Linked DNA regions of Tamandua tetradactyla. The protein of the gene in region 1 purifies or fractionates together with the protein of each later gene. This does not show direct contact. Links are inferred from orthologs where the notes say so. Each region holds a gene or a part of one and is shown on either strand. Other genes may lie near its edges. The genes, in order: AP1M1 and ATG9A.

Evidence for each region.
Region 2: the proteins of AP1M1 (region 1) and ATG9A purify together in Homo sapiens (affinity purification with western blotting, with the first as the bait; 3 studies listed by BioGRID). This does not show direct contact. The link is inferred for Tamandua tetradactyla from reciprocal best matches to the Homo sapiens genes AP1M1 and ATG9A.

The regions. Positions count from the first base shown.
Region 1 is NC_135337.1:94,820,051-94,828,916, forward strand, and holds the start of AP1M1 (AP-1 complex subunit mu-1), read left to right. Parts: upstream 1-5,133; 5' UTR 5,134-5,265; coding exon 5,266-5,307; intron 5,308-5,335; exon of another isoform or gene 5,336-5,711; intron 5,712-8,866. Other genes in the region: protein FAM32A, read left to right, coding at 1,878-1,931, 2,161-2,229. UniProt on the Homo sapiens protein: Subunit of clathrin-associated adaptor protein complex 1 that plays a role in protein sorting in the trans-Golgi network (TGN) and endosomes.
Region 2 is NC_135329.1:194,967,577-194,976,505, reverse strand, and holds the start of ATG9A (autophagy-related protein 9A), read left to right. Parts: upstream 1-4,725; 5' UTR 4,726-5,208; intron 5,209-5,245; exon of another isoform or gene 5,246-5,527; intron 5,528-5,625; exon of another isoform or gene 5,626-5,645; intron 5,646-6,112; exon of another isoform or gene 6,113-6,170; intron 6,171-6,576; 5' UTR 6,577-6,605; coding exon 6,606-6,708; intron 6,709-6,833; coding exon 6,834-6,877; intron 6,878-7,416; coding exon 7,417-7,481; intron 7,482-8,278; coding exon 8,279-8,440; intron 8,441-8,606; coding exon 8,607-8,748; intron 8,749-8,929. Other genes in the region: tRNA endonuclease ANKZF1, read right to left, coding at 79-565, 1,192-1,347, 1,542-1,770, 2,065-2,212, 2,296-2,408, 2,806-2,999, 3,120-3,222, 3,405-3,517 and 1 more. UniProt on the Homo sapiens protein: Phospholipid scramblase involved in autophagy by mediating autophagosomal membrane expansion. Cycles between the preautophagosomal structure/phagophore assembly site (PAS) and the cytoplasmic vesicle pool and supplies membrane for the growing autophagosome.

The DNA.
Region 1 (8,866 bases):
CCTGGGCCCCACATTAACATTTGGGGATCACTGGATGAGATACTCAGAGGGAGGGGCACTGGCCAGGAAGAGGTCCAGGGTCTGAGCCGAGCTCTGCTGCACTCCACGATTAGAGCGTGGTTGGGAGTAAAGTACAGAGGAGCAGCAGAGAGGGAGGAGGAGAACCAGGAGAGCCTGCATCTGCGGGAGCCTAGTGGAGAAAGTGTTCTGAGGAGGAGGACATGGCTGGCAACCTGAGATGCTGCTGAGGGTTTGCATGGGAAGAGCACTGAGAGTCCTCAGTGGGAACCCTGCAGCCAGTGAGTGGGTTCTGGGGGGTCGGGGGTAGAGGGGTGGCAGGAGTGAGAATAAGTGCAGGATTTGCTGTGAAGGGGACAGAGTAAAGGGATGGTAGCTGGAGGTGGGGTAGGGCCAAGGGAAAATTATTATCATCATTTAAATGGGATTTGTTTGATTGGGGGAGGGGGGAGGGAGATGAGGCAGGTGAGCAGGTGGGGTGGAGGAGGTGGGCAGTGCTTGGAAATGAGGTGGCCCTGTGGGAGCCTGTCAGGTGATCAGAGTGACTGAGGAGAGGCTGGACAGCCCCCTGGCTTCCAGGCCAGGTGGAGGGGGCAGCAGCTTGGCATCTCCATCCCATTTCCAGCTGCATGGCCTGGTCCTTGATTCCTCCATCTACAAAGTGGGGGTACCAACAGCACCAGGAAACCCAGCAAACTTGGCTACAGGAGGGCAGAGTCCAGCTCAGCACCTGCTATTGCGTGAAAGCTGGTCTAGTTGCATGGCTTCTTGTAGGGGCCTGGTGAGAACAGAGTCCAGCTTCCTGTGGGCTCATGGTTGAGGGGAGGGAGACGCAGGGATGGGGCAGCGCAGACACCTCGGAGGGAGGAGCACAGGTGGCAGCTGACAGCACTGTGTTGTTGTTTCTCAGCCAGGTGGTCCTGCAGGTCTGGCCTGGGGTCTCGCGCAGCCAAGGGGCAGCTGGGGCTGAAGCCCTGGAGGCCCACGGTGACCCTCTCACCACTCACACATCTGCCCCGAGCACAGCCCCACGGCCCCTCTCTCCCTGGGCTTTCTCGTCCTGTAGGTCCGGAAAGACCTGCATGGTGGGTGGCTTCCCAGAGTGCAGCACTGCCCATGCGTCTCATGGCGCCATCCCAGCCCAGGCACTGCTTTCTGCATTATTGCCTTCTGTTGTGTAAACTGAGTCACGGGGCCAGGCCCGAGTCCACGTGGCAGGAGCTGCATGAGAGCATGAACGCCGCGAGGCGCGATTCCTGGGAAGCACCCGGGCGAGTCGGCTGTGATCGCCACACTAGCCAGTGTGGGAGCCAAGCACAGCCCGGGGCCTGCCTGGCCCTGCAGGTACTGCCCCTCAGGTTTGAAATTGTTTTGGAGTCGGTTAAGGTGCAGGACCTGTACCCCAGAGTCACCTCTGCAGTGTGATCGTGGTAGCCGTGAGGACAGCCAGGCGCTGTGACCGTATCTGAGGCTGGCAGTCATTTGGGCAGCTCCTTTGGCTGACCCCTTTACTGTCCTCATTTCTTGTCCTTCCTAAAACCCGGCTGGGATGACTGTCAGTGTCACACCCTCTGGGAAGCACACGTAGAGGTGCCTGCAGGGCGGCCACTGGTGGGTGCTTGGTTGATGTTGTGTCCTCTTCTGCCCCTCATGAGGCCTGGTACAGAGGCGACTGACCCAGGTTCCCAGTGGTCACTGGAGCTGGGCTTCCCCTTCGGACCTGCCTGGGTGAAGGTGAAGGAGGGGGGCAGAACGTGCAGCCTGAGACCTTCAGCCATTCCAGGCTCCCGTCCTCTGTCACATGCTGGCCAGGCTGAGCTGAGCTTGTGAATTCACTTCCGTTTCTCCTTTCTCTTCAGCAAATGGAAAGGATCCTGAAGAAAGCATCTAAAACCCATAAGCAGAGAGTGGAGGTGAGTTGGGTGCTGGTCCCAGCTGGGCCCGGAGTCTGGCAGAGGGGGCCTGGGAGTGTTGGTGGGAGGGCAGTGACCGGCTCGTTAGGGGGGACCCCAGTGTCCGGGCTCTGTGAGACCTGGCCGGGTGGGTTTGGGAGGAGGGACTCAAAGAGGAGAGATGGGTGTGGGACAGGCAGGGCGGGCCTGAGGTCTGGGCTGAGACGAGCTTGTTCCTTGGCTCTCCCAGGACTTCAACAGACACCTGGACACGCTCACGGAGCACTACGACATTCCCAAAGTCAGCTGGACGAAGTAGCCACCCGGCCCCCGCAGTTTCAGGACACATTCTTTTTCCCACACTCTTGCATTTCTCTGTTGAGACAGGGCTTTTCAAGGCTTGGATACCTTCACTCCGGAACTCATTAAAACGAGACTGTCCTTTTGCTCATTTTTGTTGGCTTCTCCGTAGCACAGAGAAGATAAACCTTTTTTTCCTGGACTGGAAATTTTTAAAAGTTTATGCAGAGGTGAGGGTGATTTCTGTAGAAGTACCACGTGAAAATGTTGCGCCTCCCACCTCCCTCCCTGAATTGCATCCAGCCCCCTGAGGACAGCCAGCTGGCTCTCTCTGCCTGGATAAAACCACCTCCAGAGAAGGAACTGATGCCAGCATGGACCCTGGTGGGCTGCCCTTGGAAGCTCCCTTAAGCTTGGGCTTGTGACTTTCCATCTGGGACCCTGGGAAGCTGTGCAGAGCTCATGGCCTTCATGCTGCCCCTCGGCTATCTTGCCAGCTGGATAGCTCCAGCCTGGGAAGCAGCCACCCAAGGGGAGGGTGGAAAGACTGCCTTGTCCCTTTCTGTGCCAGTGCCCCCATTGCAGACACTGCTAATGGGTGTTGCCATGGTATCCATGGCAGACACGGCTAATGGATCTCACCACTCTTTGTAATGGAGCCCAAACCCTGACTCGCCCCGCAGTCCCTTATGTTTGTTCAGAGTTGGCATGGGGCCTGGAGCCTGGTTGGCATTTCCAGCCTCAGGACACCTTGGGGGTGACAGGGCCAGGCAGAGTCCTGGGGCCAGCAGCCCTGGGTGCAGTCAAATGGGAGGACCCAGGGGCTGGCGCTGGCGAGCCAGGACCTTGAGGGTCTCCGTTCACCAGACCAGGATCGCCCCACGTGCTACTGGGGAGAAGTTGCTGTTGGGGTAGATTTGAAAGAGTAACAAAGTGACAAGAGGAAAACCAAGTGTTGGGCTTGGAGCCAGCATGTGTGAACTACGAAATAAAGCAAAGTCCACTTATTAAGTGTGAGTCTGCGGGTCTGAACTCCGTGCCATTTGATTACCACTGGGGATGCTGCTCCAGCAGGATGGTAGATGGTCCAGTTAATCACAGTCAGTGGATCGCGGAAGAACTGCTGCAGATGTGGCTTGAGACAGCAGGGGGTTCTCATCTCCCCCTTCTGTGGGTGGACTGTGCCTGTTTGGGCCGTTCTCATCCATGGGCTGGGGTAGTTTAGGTCACGCAGTCACAGCTTGCTCAGCTGGGACAGGAAAGTGCAAGATGGCATCTTTGTCTTCCAGCATCTGTCTCTCTCTCCCCCCACGTATTTCACTGTCCAGAGAAGGACACGTGGCCACACCCCGAGCATGTGGGTGGGACCTCTCTTAGCTGTGAGTGGCAAGCAGCCCCCACTGTTGGAGTCCACCATGGCGGTTCTCAAATTCTGTGCGGTAAAAGCCACTGATGCCTGGACTCCCAGCCCCGAGATTCTGATTTCAATTGGCTTGGGGTGGGGGACCCATCTTTGTGATTTTTCAAAGCTCCCCAGGTGTCCCTGATGCACAGCAAAGTTTGAAAAACCCGGGTCTACAGGTTGGGTCTTTTCTGTGACACTGCAGAAGTCTTATCCAGCTAGTACATAAAATAAAACCAAGGGTGAAATTCAGATGTGACCCAAAAACCCCCACGTAGGGAGAAAAGGGGGTTACAGGTAATTTGTTTACTGAGAAAGCGTTGATTGAGAGTTACTCTTGGCACCTGGAGTCTTTTATTTCCTCAAAAGACTTGTCCCATCACTTGCTCCCAGTCCTCTTGATGCTGATTTTGAACATCTAAACAATACCGACAGCAGGCCCAGAGGTGTTGTGTTCACCTCTCCTTGGTGATCTTTTTTGTCTTAATTCCTTTTGGCACTTCCCCAAGTTTTCCACAGTGAGCACGGACAGTTTGGTTAACAAAAAGACTAAAACACACACACTGTAATAAACTGGGCAGAGTATGAGGCCAGGTATTTCTTGCATTTTGGTCCCTAACTTAAACTCTTGCTGAACAGAACCCTGCTTTTCTCCCTAGGCAGCAGACAGGCACCACCCTGACATCTCATCACGTTCCTTTCAGGGCTCGTTTGCCAGACATTTGGTGCCCCAGCCCCTGTCTCGGCTTCTTGCTACACCCTTTGTGCCAGAAGGTTTGCAGGGTCCTTAGCTGTCTTCATCCAGTTTTCTACTCTGGATTTCCTCACACATCTCTCTCCTGAGCAGAGGATATAGAAATACACTGTGGCAAGAACCATCCCTCAAACCCCACTTAGAAATAGGGTAGAGACAAGATATTTGACAGGTGGGCTGCAGGGCTGGCTCTCCAGGGCAGTGTGGACGGTTTACTGGGGTGGAATGCAGGCATGACCCCACACCCCGAGTGTTCCTAAAGCAAACGGAATGTGAATCAACTGATCTGTCAGGGACCACAGTTTGCAACACTCACCATGGCCACTAACCTGCACTTAATGCAAACACGTATGTACTTTGTGTCTGTACTCCGAGGGGGATGGTTTTCACTAGGTCACTCCAGGACTTAAAACAGGCACAAACGAGGTCATGGACGACAACTGAGACAATGACAAGTAGTGACTTCCTAAGGTTTCGCTCCCTCTCAAACTGTGCATTTCTTAGTTTCCTAGACTTCCTAAGGGCTGTGCGCAGGGCGCTTCCAGCACCTGAAACTCTCACCTGATTCGGCGCACGGGTTGGGGTTTCCAGCTGCTCTGGGGCCGTCGTCCAGCCAGGCCGCTAGAGGGCGCCCTGATTCTTCAGCCCGCCGCTCTGGGCCTCACTTCCCGGATGCTGGAGGCGGGAGCCGGAATCAACGTATGCGCCTGCGCACACCCCGCCCTACGCCTGCGCAGAACCAGCAGCTGCTCCCTGACCGGATATAACGGTCCCCGCGCGGCGCCCGGGACCGGAAGTGGAGGGGAACCGTCGTGGGGCGTGCCCGGTCTTCCTCAACGCCCGGCAGCCCCCGCCGCCGCCGCCACCTGAGGCCCCTGTCGAGGCCTCCGGTAGCCGCCATGTCAGCCAGCGCCGTCTACGTGCTGGACCTGAAGGGCAAGGTATGGAGGTTCCCCACCCTCACGTTGCCAGGCAGCCGGCGGGGGCCTCGCCCAGCGGGGACCCACCCTGTTGCTAGGTAACCAGCCAGCGGGCACCACCCTAGAGTCAGGCCTGGAGGCCGGCGGCCCTCACCTATGAACCCCACCCTGTTACCAGGTAACCGGGCGGTGGTCTTGGGTCTATGGGCCCCGCCCTGTTGCTAGGCAACGCGGTGGGCCGCTGCCGTTGCCGAGTAACCGGCAGCAGGAAACCGACACGATCTCTCGCGCGTCTGGCGGCGGGGCTCAAGCCTCGGTTGGGGGGCACCCGGCACCCGGAAGTCGGGGATATGGCGGGTCTGGCCGGCTTGGGGAGCTGGGCCCCGCGGCTATGGTTCGCGCGACCCTTGGCCGGAGGCGGAGGCGGGGCGGGGACAGGGCACCCTCGGCCGGTCTCGCGCTCTCGGAGGCAGCTGCAGGTTTTTCTCCGGCGCTTTCTCGGGGCCTGTCCCAGGTGGAATTACGCCACGTGATGGAGTACGAGGTTTAAGCAAGATGGGAAAGTCAGGCATAGAAGTGAACAAACATGACGTTACCCAAGCCCCAGAGAAGTGGCCGGTCGACTTAGAATGGAACCCGGAGTCATCTGTTGATTCAGCTGAGCTAAATGTCAGAGAGGGTGCTCAGACTTGGAGCAAAGACGGCGGTAGCCGCCGTCCTTCTGGAGCTCAGTCTAGTGGGGGAGGCAGATGTTAGTTCCCAGAAGCACCTATCAACATGGATTGGGGTAGTGAGGGTATGTAATGAGAACCTGGGAGTTAGTCACAAGGAGGACCTGGGAGAAAGCTTCTCACAGAAAAGAGGCATTGAAGCCTTTCAAAAGAGCTGCTGCCTTTCCCCACGTACACCCCGGTGAAAGACTTCTGAAGTCAAGAGTCACGAGAACTGGTCCAGGGTCAAGTATGACGTCAATCAGTGATAGAAATGTGGGTGTCAGGTGCAGGGGCTGGGCCAGAGTTCACGCAGAAACACATGGGAGTGAAGAGGTGAGGTGCCTGCCCCTCCATTCTCTCTGAGCACTTTTCCTGAAGTCACTTTAACTGGGCTTGCCTGAGCTGACCGCCTTGGATGCCACCCAGAGTCAACAACTTGTGGATCCCGTGGTTGGGCTTCCTTCCTTGGCTGACCCAGAGGCAGGGAAGACAAAGCACAGCTGGGGCTGGCAGGGGCAGTATTCCCTGACTGCCTGTAGTACGAGCCCCCTTGTCACCAGCAGTGCCAGCAGGCTGCCTGTTTCAGCTGGCTCATTCCTAAAGCAAATGTTGTGTGAGCATGCAGCTTGCACCAAGTCCAGTGCCAGGGTCAAGGGACCCATTGGTGTGACTACCTCACTGTGGCTGAGGAATTAGGGCTGAGCTGTGTGACCTTGGGCAAGTGCCTTCTCCTTTCTGAGCCTCGCTTTCCTCGTTGGTCAGGCGAGTCTTCATGGGGTCACTGCAGACTCAACAGAGTGAATGTGAATGTATGAGATGGGCTCAGCCCCCCCCCCCCCCCGTGGACTTTGCTGTCTAATGGGGCAGGGGTCACATGTAGGAGCAGAGACATCACCACATAGTCGGGTCTGGGCAGCCACAATGGCAGGGACATGCCCAAGGGAATGTGGTTGTCCACCTGTTCTTTGGCTGGCAGGAAGGGAGAGGTTTAAGAGGCCTGTGGTGGAGGGGAGATGCTGGGGCTGGGTTTGGAAAGATGAACCAGGTGGCAGTTAGGTGAGGAAGTGTCCCAGTGGAGCTGCCTGCTAGGGCTGCAAGCCAGAAGTCTGGGCAACGCTGGAGCCCAGAGCCTGGTTCTGGGAGGGCCGTGGGTGGTGAGGATGGCCAGGCAGGAGTGGAGGTGGGCAGCTGTCAGCACAGGCAGCAGAGCCTCTGCAAGACGAGCATTTCAGGAGGAACACGGGGAGACTCACCTCTCGGGGGGCTCCCCGGGCCACTGCGGGTCCCCTTCTCACAGCCCAGGCGCCTGGTGTCATCACTCCCTGTGGACCTCACAGTTTAGAAGTTTGCCTCCAGAACAGAACGAATTTAATCAAGAGTAAGTCAGTGGCACATGAAGAAGTTCTCAACCATGCATCTGTCTGCAGGCCAGGCCTTGGACCCCAAAGTTACCAACCGTGGCTGGGGAAAGCCCTCCAGGGACACTTCGCCACCTTCATCTGACTTCCTCAGCAGGACCGCTCTCCCATCCAGACCGCTTCCCTTGGTTTCTGGGCTGTGCCCTTTGGGTCTCCTTCTGTTCTCCTCGCTGTTCCTGGCCAGCCCCTTCTGTCTGCCTCCCCTTGGGTGACGGGGCCCAACGGGACCAGCCTCCGCTACCTTCTCGCCCTGGTAGCCTGTTAATTACCCTCAGATTCACACCGCAGCTCTCACCCTGTCCTCCAAACTTGGCCTTTTCCAAAACCAGCTCCCCATTGTACCCGGTGTCCCTCTCAGTGGGTGACACTGCTGCACATGCCAGATACCCAGACGTCACGCCAGATACCCAGACGTCACTCCAGCTCCTTTTCCTCCTCCCCAGATGCTGGCGAGCCCCCGCTGTGGGCTGGGCATGCTGCCCGCCAGCATGGGTGAGGTGGCGTGATCGCTGGTCTCAGGGAGCGAGAGGCAAAGACACGTGAATGCGTGTCGGCCTCGGTGACGATAGGGTGGGGTGGTGGGGAGGCCTCTGGGAGGAAGTGTGTCTGCGCAGAGGTGCAGGGCCAAGCCTTCCAGGCAGAGGGAACTGCAAGTGCCGAGGCCCCGTGCCAGGGGGAGAGTAGGGAGAGGGGCGGAGGGGCTGGGAGATGCACGCAGGCAGGGACCCAGTCTGACTTCTTTCCAAGACCCTCTTGCTCTCTGGGGAAGAGCTGCGGGGGGTCAGGGGCTATCTCTCCAGTGCGTAGCCCACCTCCCCCAAGTCAATCCAGCCTCCTGCTTTGGGCCTCCTGGTCGTTGCTCTCAGTCCTCTGTGGACCAGCCACGCCACTCCTGCCTTGCTGCTCAGGCCTCAGGAAGGGCCTTGGTTTGCCCTGGTCACTGCTATGTCCCTAGGCTTGGCACAGGGCACACGTGGCCTGCCAGTGGCTTCCTGTTCTTCCTGAAGCCTCTGAGGACCCCAGGAATTGGAAACTGGGGAGAAGGAGGCCCTCAGGAACCAGGAGAGCAGAGTTGAGCATGGGGTGGCCTTAGGGTCCCGACCCGCGTACCTGTACTCGTTGCGGGACCTGATGTGTCCATCTGTAAAAGCAGCAGTCCCACGTCGGGGTGTGGCTAGTGGTGTGTGGGGGCAGGCGGCGGCACCTCTTGGCCAGGGTGCTGGGGTCCTGCCAGGCCGCCACAGGAAGGGGGTGCAGGGCTCCTCCACGAAGGGGAGATTGGGAGAGGAAGGGTCCCACTCTTGCCCTCACCTGCTCTTACCCTCCCCTACTCTCACCCTCGCCTGCTTTCACCCTTGCCCACCCTCGCCGTCACCTGTCTTTAACCACTCTCACCCTCACTTGTCCTCACCCACTCTTGCCCTTGCCCTCGCCCTCCCTCACCTGCTC
Region 2 (8,929 bases), on another chromosome or scaffold:
CAAGTAGCCAGTGCTGACTTAGACTCCAGCTCATCTTCTCTATACCCAAAATGGCTCGGGAAGGGGGCCCTCACTTACTGCACAGTGGGGTCGGCACCTGCTTCCAACAGCAGGCGAACCACTGAGCTTCTCCCAGCTACAGATGCTGCATGTAGGAGGGTAAAGCCACTGGAGCCCAAGGGGGCACTGAGCAGAGATGTAACTCCAGGGTCTGAGGAGTTGGTAGCTAGCTGGAGCTTCACCATGCCAACATCTCCGGCTTGGCAAGCAGCTAAAAGCACATCCCAGAGCTCTGGCTGACCAGAGGCCTTGGCCTCATCCAGTGAAGGTCCCAAGGAGGCTGTATCTGCCTGCGCCAACCGTATGAGGGGCTCATCACCATGAGGTTGCTGAGGAAGAGTCATATGTGTCCCAGCCCCCAGATCGTGGTTTCTGTCCTTCTTATTCCTTTTCTTCCGGCTCCGCTTAGGCAATACTTCAAATTCACGAAGACCTAGGGTCCCCAGTGTCAACTCTACTAGTTCCAACTCCACCTGGAAGCTGTCTTCTCCCTCCAACCCTGTACCTGGGAAGAAAATTGAAATATTAGATCCATCTAAGGGATAAGCAGAAGGTGGAAGGATGATGGTTACCCCAGATGCAAAGAATGTATATAAAGAGATAATCCAGATGATCCTGAAATGAAATTGTTTTTATTTGTCACCCAAGATAAATAAAGTAGCATATCAAGAACTGAGTCCATTAGTTCACACGCAGAAATCAGGCTCTCGTTCCAGATGAGGACAGGCCCAGAAGACGATATATAAGAACAAAAGTCCCTGGGCTTTCCCTATGAATAGCCCTAGGATGGTACACAATAAAGGAAACCATGGAAGCAGTGACAGCTGTGCAGGTCAAGGGTCTATAGCCAGGGAAGTGGCTCTTAGCTCAAAATCACAGGATCCAAAAGGACAGGTAAAACTATGTGAGATTCAAGTATCTACTCCATGTCAAGACTATTCCAAATACTATAGAGATCTATAAGAGATAACAGATTGGGAAAAAAGACCACTAAACAAGTCTCAGTAACAGCTATGACATACCCCATTTCTGCAGACGCTATTGTATGCATGTGTTTTAAATGGGGAAGTGGGTAAGTTATCAGAGTAGACACTAGAGAGGTATTTGATAATTGCCAGATGGTGCTCAAACCCTGTTTGGGAAATTCTGCATTCTGCTCAAGTGCTTCATTTCCATCACTGGGGACCTTTCTTCTTTCTTCTTCAGAAGCTTTCTTCCTCTCCTCTCTCACTGTCTTCCAGTGTGTCTGAGGTGAGTCCAATCTGACTATCTTCCGGGGGTCTTCTCCTGTCATAATGCAAAAAGATCTTTCTCGAGCTTTGCTGAAGAGAAGCCAGCCCAGGTCTCTTTCAATGAAGATGTGCATTGGGCTGCAGTTTGAGGGCTAGAGTATTCTCTGGATACACAAACGAGAACCTGAGGCTTAGGCTGGAAAGTACAAGAAGGTCTAGGGAGTCTGGGGAACTGGGTCTAAGGCTTACCATGGACGTGCAAGGTGGTAAGCTTATGGAGCACACGCTGTAGCTCTCGGAAGGTGGGCCTGCGGGTGGCGAGGGGGATATCCCAAAGTCGGGGATCCTCCCGTTGCAGGGGTGCTCCACGGCCTCCAAAGAACAAGGATCGGCCAGAGCTGGGGGCACGCAGCAGTATTGTCCCAGCTTCCTCCAGTGCCTTAGCCCAGTCTGGCCCTGTTAGCAGGTCACGAACCTCCTAGAGGAGAGAATAACTCAGCCCTGCATAGCTTCACTTGATATTTTTTCACCTCCAATCAAAAAATGACCCACAGATCATGTGCAGGAAGTAGGAGGCATGAGATAACAAAGAGCGAGAAAGAGTGAGAGGACTAAAGCCCCTGGAGATCCCTATTCTACCTGTGTCTACCCAGAAATAAAGCCTGGAAGGATATAGGATCAAAAACCTCCTAAATGTAGTATTTAATGAGTTGAACTGAGAGGGAAAGAAAAGTGGATCAGAGGAACACTGGACCTGGGAGGCCTAACTCACTTTATATAATGTGGCTTCATTGTAGCGCCTCAAGTTTGCTCCAGCAGAACGGGAAGTCCCACCCCGGGCATCCTGAAGCCCCTGGGCTGTACCTCGCTTGGCCCGCACAGTGTAACGGTGAAAGGTTTTGTGTGTCACCACTTCTCTTCTGCAGAGACAAGACTCAGTACTGGGCACCAGCTGGTGCTAACAGGCTCTGTTCCATTCTCACCCCATGCAGCACCCTCTCACCCTTGGAAAATGGCACCAGCGAAGTGTCCAGCTGCAGCCATAAGCACCACACAGTAGGCAGGGCCTCCACTTTGCAGGTTCTGTAGCAGCAGTTCTGCCTCTTCAGGGGGCACCTGGATGACAAAGGAGAGCACAAACATTCTACCTGTTACATTCATTGAGAACAAGAAACTAATAAAAGATTTCAAAGCACCAGTGCCAGGTACTTTACATACCTTATCTCATTTAGTAAAACCACCCTGAGGCTTGTGTCCATTTTACAAATAAGGAAATCTGAGGCTTGTAGAGGTAACTAAGATCAAGTGGTAGAATCACAATTCAACCCTAGATAAGTCTGTTTCCAAATTTAACTCCATTACATTGACCCTTCCAAGATTTGGGTCAGTTCAACCCAAGACTGTGCTCTCAAATGTGATACCTAAACCCAGTTAGGAAGGAAGGGAAGAAACAAGGGACTGGGCTGAGGGAAAATCTAGTGGGGTTGACCACACAACCTGTGCTGTCACTTGCCTGGTGAGGGCCTAGGACACAGCGGTAGGCAGAGAGGAACTGGCCCTTGGCATTTTGGAAAAGAATCCTATGGGGGTGGAAGCCTTTGGGTCTGTTAGGCTTCTCAAATTCAGCCCTCTCTTCATCCAGTATCTGCAAGTCCTCCTTACTGGGTGAGTCTGAGTCTTCTGATCCTGAGATGCTGGAAAGATCTCCTGAGGACGACAACATGAGAAATTCAAGTTTGGAACCTTTAACCTTTCATCAAGCTCCTTATGAGGGCCTTCTGCCACCCCCACATCCTACACCCACACAGGTCTCCCACCAGGCATCACCTCCAGAGCTCTGCTTTTCAAAGTCCAGGGCTGACAGGGGGGGCTTGTCCTTGAGACGCTGCTTTAGGTTAAACCGATGCCAGTCGAGCTTGTAATGTTCCCTCTGGTAGGAGGCAAAGAGGGAAGCAGAAGGTGGAGATGCTCCCACGCTGGCCAAGATCAGTAATGACTAAGTAACACCACAGTCAAAGCAGGATATTACTGTGACAAACAAGTTATCTACATCTCCCCACCCACCACTATACCTATAACACCAACATCTAGCTTTGAACTCTAGCCCTTTACCTGTTCCTGATGGTTCTGGAAGGTCTGCTCACAGGTTGAACAAAATAACTTCTCTGAAATATCAGGAGGACTCTGGATGGGCTTTCTTTCTGGGCTCCCACTCTTTCCTGAACCTAATAAGGGGAAGGTAAAAGGAGAAAGGGAGAAGAAAGCCATAGTTCCTGGAATTATATATATATATATACAGTAACTGCTGATATATAAAGCAGAAGGAAATACAAAAGGAAGAAATGACATGTCCCTATCCTCAAGAAATTTACAATCTAGTAATCATGAAATAAATGAACTGGCAATCACCTTATATGATAAATATGCTTCTGAAAGGATGTACGGAAAAATGAATATAAATGAAACACTGTACAGACATGAAACAAAGGAACTGGAGGAATCCTGTAGAAAATAATTTCAGTAAGCATCAGTTCTCTTAAACTGTGAGGTACAAGAAAATATGTAGCCACAGATGAACTCAAACGTACAAAACCAAATACATAAGGCTTGGGGCTTGTTTTTGTTTTTTGTTTTGTATTTAGTAAGAACAAAAGATGACTGGAGTTCAGTTAAAATTTGGAATGTATCTTGGAATTTTCAAATGTGTTTTGAAGGCAGTGGTGTTAATGTTATCAAATATAAGGAATGACAAGAGACTTGTTTGGTAACAATTCAGAGGTCTGTGTTGGAAACTATCCAGAGATTAACTAAAGAGGTACATTTCATCCAGTAGAAAGAGAAGTGAATGTGTGCTACAGAGCTGAGGAACACTAAAAAGAATGCGTTCCCTAGAGGAGCAACATGTTCCAAAGAAAACTTCATGGGTCCTCGTAGGTCCACCCCAAACCTCCCCGGATACCTGAACAGGAAGTAGTAGGCAGAGCCTGTGCCAGAGCCTCCCCGAGAGAGTGGCTCACCAGGCTCAGGCCCTGAAGGACAGGCGCATCAGCGTTGAGGTCAAACAGGGAGACCGACGCAGGACCCAGGGATGCAGCTGGAGCGGGCGACATAACTGAGCAGAAATTATCTGGAAGAAGCTCCTGGAGCAGAAAGGCGTTAGGATCAGAGCTCCCCAAGGCGAGATACTATTGCCCGATCACCTAATTAACTGCCTTGGTCTCTCCCATGCCGCGAGGCCCCTTGGCCTTCACCTCCGTACTCACGGCCCAATTCTGGGGACAGATACGTGACCCCAGCCTGCTTTTTCAAACGCCCAAGTCTCGGACCACACGAGTGAAATGGGGAACCCAGTTCTCAAATCGAGTCTAACAGAGTTAATATCACTTAAGGTTCCCTAACAGACCTCTCTTTGTTACTCGACAGCCGAGCTCCGGCAACGACTGAACTGGGTAGACTCGTCCACGCCTTCAGCAGCTGTCCCAAAATCCTTGGGTGAGCCGAGAGTACTCACAACTACAATTCCGAACTGGATTTCTGTGACACCGCAACAGTCTCGTCACTACGGAGCAGCGAAGGGGACAAACGAAGGCGGCCGCACCAGAACCCCGTCTCACGTAGAACGTGGTATTGGTCGTCAGACTGCCCAAGGCCCGCCTCGAACCTTTAGTCCCGCCCCCAGAGCCAACAATTGGCCGCAGCGTCTCCGCCCCTCATGCTCATTGGCCAGGCTAGTTGAGGGTGACAGTAAGTGGCAGCCGCCGGGCCTAGCGCTCCGGGTTGAACCGAGCCGAGCCGATCGAGCCCAGTAATCACCCTGGTCACCGTTCCTGAGGTGAAACGCAAGACCGGTATCTGGACTCCCAGGGCCCGGGCCCGGCCAGGGGTACCCGGTCAGCCCTAAGTGATCTCGTGGCGGGTAACGGGGGTAGGGGCTGCTCGGGCGGGGCGGGAACGCGCAATTGGAATGTTTTGATAGCGGGAGCGCGCGGGCGGGGGCGCGCTTTGGCGGCGTGGCCGCGCGGGAGGTTGTCCGCTGTTATAAGCTGAGCGCTTGGCCTGGGGCCGGGCGACCCTGGGAGCGCTGGTCTCGGGTCGTAGCGGCTGGGTATGGGAAGGCACCCACCCCAGGTATCGGCTGTAGGACTGGCTTGATCCCTCCGACATCCGCAGAAAACCCCAAGCCCACACCCGGCCGGGGCTCGATGGGCCGGGGGTCAGCGCTGACCCGTTGAGTGGTGAGTTCCCTGAGGGCTTGGTCAGCTTCTCCGGAGCCAGGGCTCTCACTAATCCAAGGAATCCCACCGGGGCCAGGCTGGGCAGAGAGCCTTGGCCCCCAGGGTCTGTACGGACTGGGTGAGTGCCACCAAGACCACGCCTGGCTTCAGGGTCCTAGCGAACCACTAATTGGCTCAGGATCAGGGGGCCACAGTGATCCAATGAAAATTTCCCACCTAGGATCCATGCCTGCCTCTTGGGTCTCTGGTACTAAGGAAGCAGGGGAAGGGGTTGGCCAGAAAGGTCCTCTTCAGAAAATACTCTTTGGATTTTGGACCTGGGGTTTTGTGGACCCTAAGAGGACTGATTTCTAAGGCTGAGGTGGGGCAAGGGGGAAACAGTCCAGAGGAGGCTGCCTGACCTCAGGTCTGCACTGACTCAAACTCTATAGGATCAGTAAGTCATTTCTTGGGATCCTCTTTCCCACTTGCAGCCTCCCTGCCCCATGTTTGGCCTCCTCTTAATGGAGGGTGAGGGGGTGATAGAGTTGGATCCCTTTCTATACACACTTTCCACTCGCTGGGGCCTGACACCTTCTCCCCCAGCAGCTGCCGAGCCAGGGCATCGAGGGCTGGAGTGGTGCAGACCCTGTCCATGGAGCTGGTAGGGCCATGTGCTTATCTCAAACCTTTATTTACAGAGGGCTTCCAACCTGCTAATCTCTTGGGGATACCAGGGTTTCTCCTGGAGGGCGGGGGTGGGGGGACCCTTCTCAACAGTGAATAGAAACTGAAACAGCCCTCTACAGTGGTGGAGTCTGGCTTCAGGCCAGCGAGGCAGCAGCAGACATTCAATAACTGGGAATAACTGACCAGAGTTAAGGCCTCTCAAGCCCAGAGCTTGCTGCTCTTCTTGGGTTATTTCTTCTCCTCTGCCTTTGGGCCAAGGAGGCTGGTAGTAGAGACCAAGCCCAATGATTCTTTCTCACTCCTTTTGGCATAGTAGGCCAGGCCCATAGGCAGGCAGTGCCTGGGTCTGAACCAGGGTGCTTTTTCCCACGTACTGGCAGGTGGACAAAGTGGACAGGGGAAGGTGGTGATGGCGCAATTTGACACAGAATACCAGCGCCTAGAGGCCTCCTACAGCGATTCACCCCCCGGGGAAGAGGATCTGTTGGTGCACGTCCCTGAGGGGAGCAAGTGTGAGTTCTTGGATGGGACAACCACAGCTGGGACCAGGAGGTGGGGGCTCTGGGGGCTGAACACTGAGGGAGCAAGGGGCCTAATTACCTTCAGGGCTCTGACATACCTGCCCCTGTGCCCACAGCACCTTGGCACCACATCGAAAACCTTGACCTCTTCTTTTCTCGAATATCCTTTGTCTTTGCATTGGAACTCTGGGGCCTTTAGCTCCTCTTTAGGCCAGGTCCCTGATGGGAAGATGGGGTAGGTGAGACTCTAATCCCTAAAAGAGATTCTAGGGACTAGAGTTAGACACTTACTCTAATCCCTTCCTGAGGCTGAAAGAGGTTGGGGAAATAATGATTGTTAAAAATAATGATACCCCATATTTTGAGAGCTGTGTGCCTTGCACTTTGTGGTGTTAGTTTATAAGGAAATTTTCTAAGGGTGATCTTCCTTTTTGATGGGATGCTAATAATTGTAATAATTATATGTCTTTTGACTCATTCTTTGTCAGCTCTGAGTTAAATACTTTACATGCATTATCTTATATACCTAATAATCCTATAAGACAGGTATTATTATTCCCAACAATACCACTGCAGAAGAAAGCTTAGAGAGATTAAGTAACTTGGTCGAAGTCAAACAACTAGATAATCATAGAAAGTCACCAAAGTTTGTGCTCTTAACTGCTGTCTCTACCAACCACTATTTCTTAACAATTATACGTTTATAATCTACATCAGAAAAATGGCTTCACTTGTATGCTCATCGGGGAGATCTTTGAGCTTATGTAAGTATAAGAAGAGGTGGTTGAGCTGGGAAAGGACTACCTCTCAGTCTCTCTTTGCACTCATCCCCTGACCTCACCTGGTAGTGCAACCTGTCCCAGTATCAAAACTGCAGATCTTTATTGTTCAGGAACTGTATGTGGCACCTAAACTTACAGCTTCCCTTTTCTTATCTCTCCTATAAGAAAAGTTTTCCAAGTCCTAGCTCTGCCATAAAGAGAACGCAAACCTTGATCATTGCATCAGAGCTCCAATTGAATGGACATGGTCCTATCAGGAGGTCTCAGAGACAGTTTCTGTTCTGCCTGGGTTGCATCTTAGGCAGGCTGCTGGGCAGAAAACTTCTAGGAGGAAGGAAGTTTTATGGCATTGCCCAATGGAAAGGGGTTAGGAAAGCTCTCTCTTATAAAAAAAGAGTCCAAATCCTCAAAAGACTTCTAAGTACCATCGCAAAAGGGAATCAGGGACTGGAGACCAGGGACCACAATCCTAAAACCTTTGAAACAGTCCTGTGGGTGATGGCAGAGATTACATGAGGTGAGGAAAGCGGGCTGATTCTGTGTAGCCTCAGGCTAAGAGCAAAAAAAAAAAAAGAAGAAGAAGAAGAAGCTGGTTTGGGCCTGAGAAGGTCCCTGGGGCTGAGCAGTAGGGAAGGCCCCTTGGGGGTTCTCCAGTCCCTTCTATTTCCCAGAGGCTATTCTCCAATCTTGTTCTGCTGATCACGGACTCTTCTCTTTTCCTACTTTATTTTACTGATGCCCCTGACTCTTGGTCTATAACCCCTCTTCCAACCACCCAGGCAGTTCCTCTTTGTGGTTGCCTTCACCACTTTCCTGGTCAGCTGTGTGGACTACGACATCCTATTTGCCAACAAGATGGTGAACCACAGTCTTCATCCTACTGAGCCTGTCAAGGTCACTCTGCCAGATGCCTTTTTGCCTGCCCAAGTCTGTAGTGCCAGGTAAGGGTTTTAGGTCAGAGGGCACCAGAGCCTATGGTTGTGCTAACAGATGGGGAACGGAGTGGATATGAGGCAGCAACTCTACCCCAGAACACAGACTCAGGCTGGGCCTAGCAGAATAGCAGCATGTGAAGGTCCACACCTCTTCCTCTTCTTTTTCCACCAGGATTCAGGAAAATGGCTCCCTTATCACTATCCTGGTCATTGCTGGTGTCTTTTGGATCCACCGGCTTATCAAGTTCATCTATAATATTTGCTGCTACTGGGAGATCCATTCCTTCTACCTGCATGCCCTGCGCATCCCCATGGTAAGAATGGGAAGTGGGCACTTGGCACCACAACCTGGGACATTTTCTGCAGCCTGGATGGTAAAGGTATTATTCCTGGGCATCAGGGGTCCTCATCCCTCATAGGTAGGTCAGAGGCATCTGCTTAAAGGCTCCATTCAGCTAAGCACACAATCCTTGAGCCTTACATCCAACCCAGGGC